Linked DNA regions of Bombyx mori. The protein of the gene in region 1 interacts with the protein of each later gene in a pairwise test. Links are inferred from orthologs where the notes say so. Each region holds a gene or a part of one and is shown on either strand. Other genes may lie near its edges.

Evidence for each region. The genes of interacting proteins can lie anywhere in the genome.
Region 2: the proteins of ras-related protein Rab-35 (region 1) and arf-GAP with coiled-coil, ANK repeat and PH domain-containing protein 2 interact in a two-hybrid assay, tested with the Caenorhabditis elegans proteins (2 studies listed by BioGRID). The link is inferred for Bombyx mori from reciprocal best matches to the Caenorhabditis elegans genes rab-35 and cnt-1.

The regions. Positions count from the first base shown.
Region 1 is NC_085122.1:8,797,434-8,801,748, reverse strand, and holds the start of ras-related protein Rab-35, read right to left. Parts: upstream 2,804-4,315; intron 2,630-2,803; coding exon of another isoform or gene 2,370-2,629; intron 2,007-2,369; coding exon of another isoform or gene 1,907-2,006; intron 1,358-1,906; exon of another isoform or gene 1,116-1,357; 5' UTR 812-1,115; intron 615-811; coding exon of another isoform or gene 458-614; intron 380-457; coding exon of another isoform or gene 322-379; exon of another isoform or gene 206-321; intron 114-205; exon of another isoform or gene 1-113.
Region 2 is NC_085114.1:6,704,060-6,708,130, forward strand, and holds the start of arf-GAP with coiled-coil, ANK repeat and PH domain-containing protein 2, read right to left. Parts: upstream 2,804-4,071; 5' UTR 2,652-2,803; coding exon 2,599-2,651; intron 2,484-2,598; coding exon 2,367-2,483; intron 1,156-2,366; coding exon 982-1,155; intron 1-981. UniProt on the Caenorhabditis elegans protein: GTPase-activating protein for the ADP ribosylation factor family. Regulates endosome recycling downstream of rab-10 and upstream of arf-6.

The sequences.
Region 1 (4,315 bases):
AGTTTTTCTGTAACTATTCAAGAATATTATAGATAGGCAGCAAATCATTTGAGTCACAGAGATTACTGATGTCGATCCCCATCTGGAGGCCCAATGCCCGTCTGTTTGATGAGGTAATAAAAATAAAATATACTAATTAAATTCGGTTAAATAGAATTTAAGCCGAGCAAACAAGCTGTGTTTATCTTTTATAAATTTTTTGTAGATGTTAATTTATCGATAATCTAAAAATAATGATGACCTTGAACGATTATTGTGTTTCAACAAATAATAAATTTGAAATATTTAATTGTTTTTACGTTACGGTTAATACAATATAAAATGTTTCATTTACCGAAAGCTGTCACATACACTTGCACTATGAGTATTGGTATTGGTGGTAAGTTTTCGAATATTAGTTAAAAAACAAATGACAATTTTGTTAAAAATGCTTTCTGTATCTTTTTTGTTTTGCTAGGTATGAGAAATTGCGATACCTATAAAAATGGGGCGTTTCTAGAAAAATCAGTGACATGGAAAGAGCCGTTTGGACAATTCAAATGTTGGTTTGAAGAAGCTCGCGCTACGAAAAAGATTCTGGAGCCCAGTGCAATGTGTCTAGCCACAGTTTCACAGTGAGTTACATTTTAAACTAGACTGCGTTTTGTAAACAAAGACAGTTGATATCCTAGCCACATTAACCAGCACAAAAACTTGGAAATATTTAGAGTCCCCATTAGTTTTTTGAGAAAAAAAAAAAAATTAGATTCTATAGAAAATACCGGTGAACTCAATTAAGTTTATTGAACGTAAACAAAATATAATATTTTACCCACTTCTTCTTCTTTCTTCTTCGTCGCTTTCTTCATTGCTGAAGGTCGTGTCCCTGAAACTCGACCGTTGCCTGTCTCGTGAGCTGTTTCCATCTCGTCCGGTCCTCAGCTGCTCGAATGGCGGTTGCGACTGGCAACCCAGTTAGAGCGGTTACTTGATCACACCAACGGCTAGGTAATCGGCCGCGGGGTCTCTTTCCTTCTACTTTGCCCGTCACAATCACTTTGTCCAAGTTAACTGACTGTCGGCGGGAAATATGACCGAAGTAGCTGAGGATCCTCTGGTAACAGATTGTTGAGAGCCTGACTCGGATGCAATTAAATGTCATTAAAGTGGCAGTTCGTGAACACGTATTGCAAACCTATTTGCTTAGAAATATCGCTATCTTTTAAAGGCGTCGCATCGTAGCTACAAAGGTTAAAACGTCTGGTGCATTCGCATCTAGCGATGCAACGATGTTCGAATCCCGCAGATGGGTACCAATTTTTGTAATGAAATACGTACTTAACAAATGTTTACGAATGACTTCCACGGTGAAGGAATAACATCATGTAATAAAAATTAAACCCACAAAATTAATTTAATTTGCGTAATTACTGGTGGTAGGTCCTCTTGTGAGTCCCCACCGGAAGGTACCACCGCCCTGTCCATTTCTGTCGTGAAGCAGTAATGCGTTTCGGTTTGAAGGGTGGGGCAGCCGTTCTAACTATACTGAGACCTTAGATGCACGTTGCAGATGTCTATGGGCTCCGGTAACCACTAAACAGGTGTGCTGTGAGCTCGTCCACCCATATACAATAAACAAAAAATAAAAAAAACTGCTTGGGAGAATTTAGCCCCAGAATAGTCGCATCAATCGATATCTAACACCGGGCGTCGTATCCATATACAAAAGCAAACATAGGAAATACCCCTATTATTGTTATCATAAGAACATAGCTAGGCCGAGATCAATGCTGTTGAATTAATCTTATTCAGAGATTTTTATGAAGATATATGAGGGTAATGTTTTAAGACTTATCAATTTTTTATCCAAACAATTACTCATTGCATTAGGGATCTGGATAGTTATGGTTTTTAATGATTATTTCAGGGAGGGTTTTCCGTCAGCCCGATTTGTATTGTGTAAGGGTTATGGTAAAGAAGGATTCAAATTCTACACAAATTATGGAAGTAAAAAAGCTAAAGACATAGTAAGTCTTTTATATTTTTTTCAAGAGGACCCTATGCCATATAATTATTGATTTGTTTATTTGAAATCAACTCAATTTTTTTTTTAAACCGAAATTGTTTTAAGGAATATAACCATAATAAGAGTATTAACGACAAATAAAGATTCGCCTTCAAACAAAGGCACCTTTTAGATTTCCTTTACAGTAAATATATTTAGTATATACTCGTATTATACAAACACAATGCATTTTTATCACTAAAAATCTAGAAATATGGAAAAAACACTAGGAAGTAGAGTAATATCTACGAATAAAAATTTGAAAGTTTTCAAATTTAAAGGTCCATCCAATTAACATCATAATAATGATTTACATTTTCTTAAGGAAGGGAATCCTAATGTTGCTGCTACGTTTTATTGGGATATCCTGAACAGATCGGTGAGGATTGAAGGCACAGTCGAGAAACTCTCAGAAGCTGAAAATTTAAAATACTTTCGCACACGTGCAGTGGCCAATCAGATAGCAGCATGTACGAGCTACCAAAGTACACCGATAGTTTCTAAAGATATCCTATGTCAAAGGCAAAAGGTTCTTGAGCAAGAATATCTGATACCTGGGAAAGAAGTCCCAAAACCAAGTAACTGGTAATTTTCATAGTATTAAACAAGCAAATTTTTTTATCGAGACTTTCAACACAGCGATGTTCATGTTTTATTAAATTGTGTCGTCATTATTACATTATGTAATCTCATTATTTTACAATAAAATTAAATCAACTGGTTTATTATGAAAAAAATAACACAGTTAAATTTTTCCAGGGGAGGATACCTCTTAGTTCCTAGGTCCGTTGAATTCTGGCAGGGTCATAATGACAGATTTCATGATCGCATAAAATACAGAAGACCATACAAAGGGGAAGTGCCAGATCAAAAACTATTGCACGAAGGCGAAGGTGGGTGGGTTATCGAGAGACTTTCGCCATAAATCCTGAAAAATAATGTTTGTTGTTATTTAAATTTATAATTTATTAATTTAATTTAATCATATAATGATTAATAATTTAATCAGTTAAATAAATAAAAGCAAATGTCTATTTATATGTTTGTCCTCTATGCGTTCCTAGGATATATGAAACTCTATTGATAGTCCAATCAACATACTATAGGTGACGCGCGAGTAGTTTCAAGAAGTCGACAACGATATGTAGCCACAGCATAATAAAATGGTTTTACTACCAAATAATTTTGTTTCTTCTTTATTAATGTTAGCTTATTAATTGTTTAGCATCTATGAAAGCACAGAAGAATAGGAAACTCTTCTTCCAAATGTATATTGTGTTCTTAGCATAGATAGAATACACATAACATTTAAGCATAGATTATACACTTAATATATTTGAGATAGATGCGCAACTCTCATTTTTATTTTTGCTTTAGTTAGAGCCCGGGACAGCAGGCGTCGCTGCTGTCGATTATTAGTCTCCCTACCCCCCACCAGGTGGCTTTTTTAGTAATTTTAATATTTTTTATAATTAACTCTATGAAAAAATCTTATCGTTTAGAATCGCTGAAATTCCCGGTAGTACTTATGAAATATTAAAGAACGTTTGATTGTGTTCAGCATTCTAATCGATAAGACCTTTTCATACAGAGAGAAAACAGTTTTTTTAAATAAAAAGCTGTAATTCTCTGTAAGCTATTTAATTTCCCTATATTACAAACAATTTACTGTTAAAAGATAGTATGAACGTACAATTGTATAAAATTTCGAATAACAATAACTCCTCTAGATTAATCCTACTAGAGTACTTAATAACATTAAATCGAAAGTTATCTAAAAGTTAATTAAGTCTAGATAATCAAATCATTCAATGTCACTTAAGTCATTTGTGCGAAATATAAACATGTCAGCTTTCCATTACAAACATAGTAGACAATTTGAATTAAATTTAATAAATTTGTTTCTTAACTATAGCAGTTCTTGCTTAAAGTTGATCGTGACAGATCATGACCTTGTATGAAAATATTACATCTATAAACACTACCTATGCTTCGTCATACAATAATTGTCATTTATACTAGCATTGTAGAGATAATACACACACTAAAGTGAATACTAAATTATTCTTAGCATTCTTATAAACATTTAGAAATTTAAGAAACTATTAACCCACAATCATGTTCATAACATGTGACATTTTGATCTGCACAAACGTTTTATTACATGATTTGAAAAACAAAAAATGTTTAAAAAATGTAATGATGATTTAAAGTACTCTTAAATATTGATAGTTTGTACTTAATGACGCTTATAGTAATCTTAGACATGAT
Region 2 (4,071 bases), on another chromosome or scaffold:
AGATCAACTTAAGCAATATGTTGTTGATACATTCATTTTTAATAGTTGATATTTTTTTAAAGAATAATTACTTAACATAATTCTGAATGTTTTTCTTTGAAGTTTATTTTGTTGCATAACACATGATCTAGCTATCTTAGCATGAAGTTATTATACATCAAGTGAGAACTCCAGGGCTTAAAATTATTTCTCTAAGCCATAATAGTTTGCTGGCTGATAAGTCTGCTGACCATGTTTCACACTCAACGGGCATTAGACTATGTTAATATTCGAGAAGTTACTGAATTAACAGCATTAGCATATTATAACACTATTTCTATATCGCGAAGGGAGGACTCATGTAGGCTTATAGTAAGCCCAACCATAGTCAGTGTTTCAGTGTCTTCTGAATAATAATTTAATATAATTTAAATAATCCATTTTTAAACCATAAAACAAGCAAGCTGTGCACTGTGCTCATGTTCAATAAACAAATTATGTATATCCAATAATTAAGTTATTTTTGGAGTCAATGGACATTTTCAACAAAATTATTAACAAAAGAAATTATTAAGTTATAATTGAAGCTACTTCTATAGTATGATCTCACTTTTATTATTCTCAATTATTTGTAATGTTTTCAGTTTCAGTCAGTTTTTGTAGCAGTCCTTTATTAAGTTAGTCTAAGCAAGTCTAGAAATAAAAACATGAATCCAAACATCAAGTAAGCCTCATGCAAATATGAAACATATCTTTGAAAACAATACTTTCCAATGCTTTTGATAAAAATAGATGTCATCCAAAAATTAAATCACTCATTTAGATATTTAGAGTAATAAACAAGATATTGTATTATTTAAACACACCAGAATTAAAGTGAGCTAAGCTGAATGTTAACAGAGATGTGAAAACTCATATTTTTTATGAATCAAATAAGTATTAAAATGTCATCGTTTGTCCTCCATTCTCAAAGCTACTTAAAATCATTTAAAAAATCCTTACACCCTTATAAATGCAGTGAGATTCTTTATCACAGTTCGGGAAACCTGGTCCAGCAATATTGAATGAAACTTGGTCATCTCCTGCAGAGCATGTGCCATACGGTTCAGTGGTGCCATCACTGTTGGGTCTTCTGAGAAACTTCCGGTCAAATCCCATAGTGCATTTGTAAAGGTACTGATAAAAAATAATGACGTTTTTGATCAACATACACCATTAAAGTAAAGGGAACATCGTCAAAATTTATAAAAGGAGAGTGTGGCAATGTTAATTTAGATTTTGTTTTTCTAGATCCTAATCCTCATGTATTCATGACAAAATTACTCTATCTAAAATAATCACTTACTACAACTGAATAAGCCTTCCATATTACAGATTAAAATCACCTTGAAATACTATGTGGTGTCTTATCAAGTGACAACATTTAAATAATATAAATAGTAATAGTACAAAAACAATGATTTAATTGATTTTATTTAAGAACTTAGATCTTGTCTACTAACACTTTATAACTACTCTCACCAAAATCATTAAGTATATTATGAACAAAGCAAATTGTCAAATCAAGGTATGTATACGATTTTATATTTCAACAAGAGGTCCTACCACCAATTTGATTTTTTATTATACAACCAGGTGAGATGTGAGCTCGAACACACATGAAACAAAAAAAAAAGTAGCCTATGTTCATCAGGGATAACGTCGGTTTCTAGTAGAAAAAGAATTTAGGTCAAATCAGTCCAGTAGTTTCGAAGCCTATTCAAAAAAAACAAACAAACAAACAAATCTTTCCTCTTTATAATATTAGTATAGATTGTTCCTCAAAATTTCCACAACTTACATAGATTCAAAATTTGTGCTTTACCAATTAATGTTATTGGACATATTATTATTGTACATAGCAACAAAATATATCGAGGGGTGAAAGACTATTTGGTTTAAGAGACATTTTCACTTCTTTACAGGAGAGCCATGTAAAGATTAAAAATTTGAAGAACAAAAATCGTAACAAAAAACTTCTACAGCTATTCGAATGGAGTAAACTTAGAAGTTCTTAGAAGTTCAATTAAAAACATTGAACTGTTGATGCCAATACCAAATAAAATGCGCTTTTAATTACAAAGATAAATGTCACATATAAAGCAAAATGTAACTTATAACAAATAGACTTTCACCCCTCAATATCATTCATTCTTTTTTGTTTTAATTAGTTATTTCACTTTCAATAATTACTGGATATTAACAATTTTGCAGTGGGTTAAAATCACCATAATTTATCCAATATGTTAGAAACCTAAACTACATTTTAAGTGAGTGTTAGACTATATTTATTCCATGACAATGTTATTAGGATGTTAATTAAAGAAAAATTCGTATAATAAGTTTACCCTCTGTGATTCATATAAGTCTTTCCCGTTTCTATCATTATGCTGCAAGCTTTCAGTACCTTATCTAGCTTTTGTTCTAGCCCATCAATATTTGCTTCTTCGGTTTCTAATTGCTCTCTGTTCGATAAAAACAAAAATGTATCACTTAGTATGTTTAGCACACACGAAATTTCACTTTCATTGTTAGTTTTGTACATGTCCACAACATTATTAGAAAATATGTTGTATGTACCTGAACTTTGGAGAGTCCCTAAGGCACTCATCAAAATCAATCAACGGTTTCATTTTATCAATAATTTGTCGTTCTTTTTTTATATATTTCACATTAAATAGCGCTAAGTATTCACAATATTTCTCCTCAGATTTCAATTAATCAGTTGTGCAACTGATTTGAGTTAAACACTAATAATATGTGTATAATCTATGCACTAAGTTGTTTTTTTTTTAATTATAAGACCTGGTAACATAGACCATTTAGGTCATATATTATTTGGAAAATGTTTATTACTTTGTGTTGGAAGGTCGTGATGCTGTCCACGTATAATTGTCTATGATGCACTATATTTGAACAACACAATGTTTTCAAGTATTTAATTTACGTTTTAATTAATTGCTATAGCCGCTAGTCCACCCTATCAGTGGTAGCAGAGCGTGGTTACATAAATATCTAGTGGCAAATGGAAGAAGCATATTAAAATTTAAAATAGTAAGTAAATGAGAAAATAAAAAAAAATTAAAATGAGCTCGAGTATCAGAAACATAGAACCGCTGACAAAATCAAACTATGATACCTGGTGCTTACAAGCACAGGCGATTCTCGTAAGATACGATTTATGGGAATACGTTAGTGGTGCAAAAGCGTTAGCGGCAACTACGACTGCCGAAGAAAAGAGTGCGTTCATAAAGGAAGACTTAAAGGCAAGGTCAGAGCTAATTTTACTTATATCTCCACCAGAACTGAAACAAGTTAAAGGGTGTAATACATCCAAGGAGGTATGGGACAAACTTAAGTCTATTCACCAAAGTTCAGGGCCGGCAAGAAAGGCTACGTTGTTAAAGCAGCTAGTATTAAAGAAAATGACTCCACAAGAAGATGTGAGAGACCATCTCAGTAATTTTATGGATGTAGTAGGTAAATTAGAAGACATGGATGTCAAAATTCATCCAGAGTTATTAAGTATAATGATGTTGTACAGTTTACCTACAAATTTCGATAGCTTCCGAACGGCAATTGAGTCGAGAGATGTTCTACCAAGTCCTGACAGTTTAAAAATAAAAATCGTAGAAGAATACGAAGCAAGAAGGCAAACCGAAGATAATGAACCTCAGGCTTCAGAAGCTTTCTACACAAAGACGAAGAAAAAGGTACAATTTTGTAAGGATTGCAATAAGAAAGGGCATTCCACAGAAGCTTGTTGGTCAAAGAAGAAACCCAATAACCCCAATAAAACTAAAGGTCAAGAAAAGACATTTAACATCTGTTTAACAACAGGAACATCGAAATGTAAAGGCAATTTATGGTGTCTTGACAGTGGCTGTACGTCACATATGACGGGTGATAAAAGTTAATCCCCGCGACTGACACTCTAAAGCTAGCTTCAGATAAACATACGACCGAAGTTAAAGGGAAAGGAAAAGCCGAACTTTATACAAAGGATCGACGCTATAAAATTAGTCTTTCTGACACATTATATGTACCTGATTT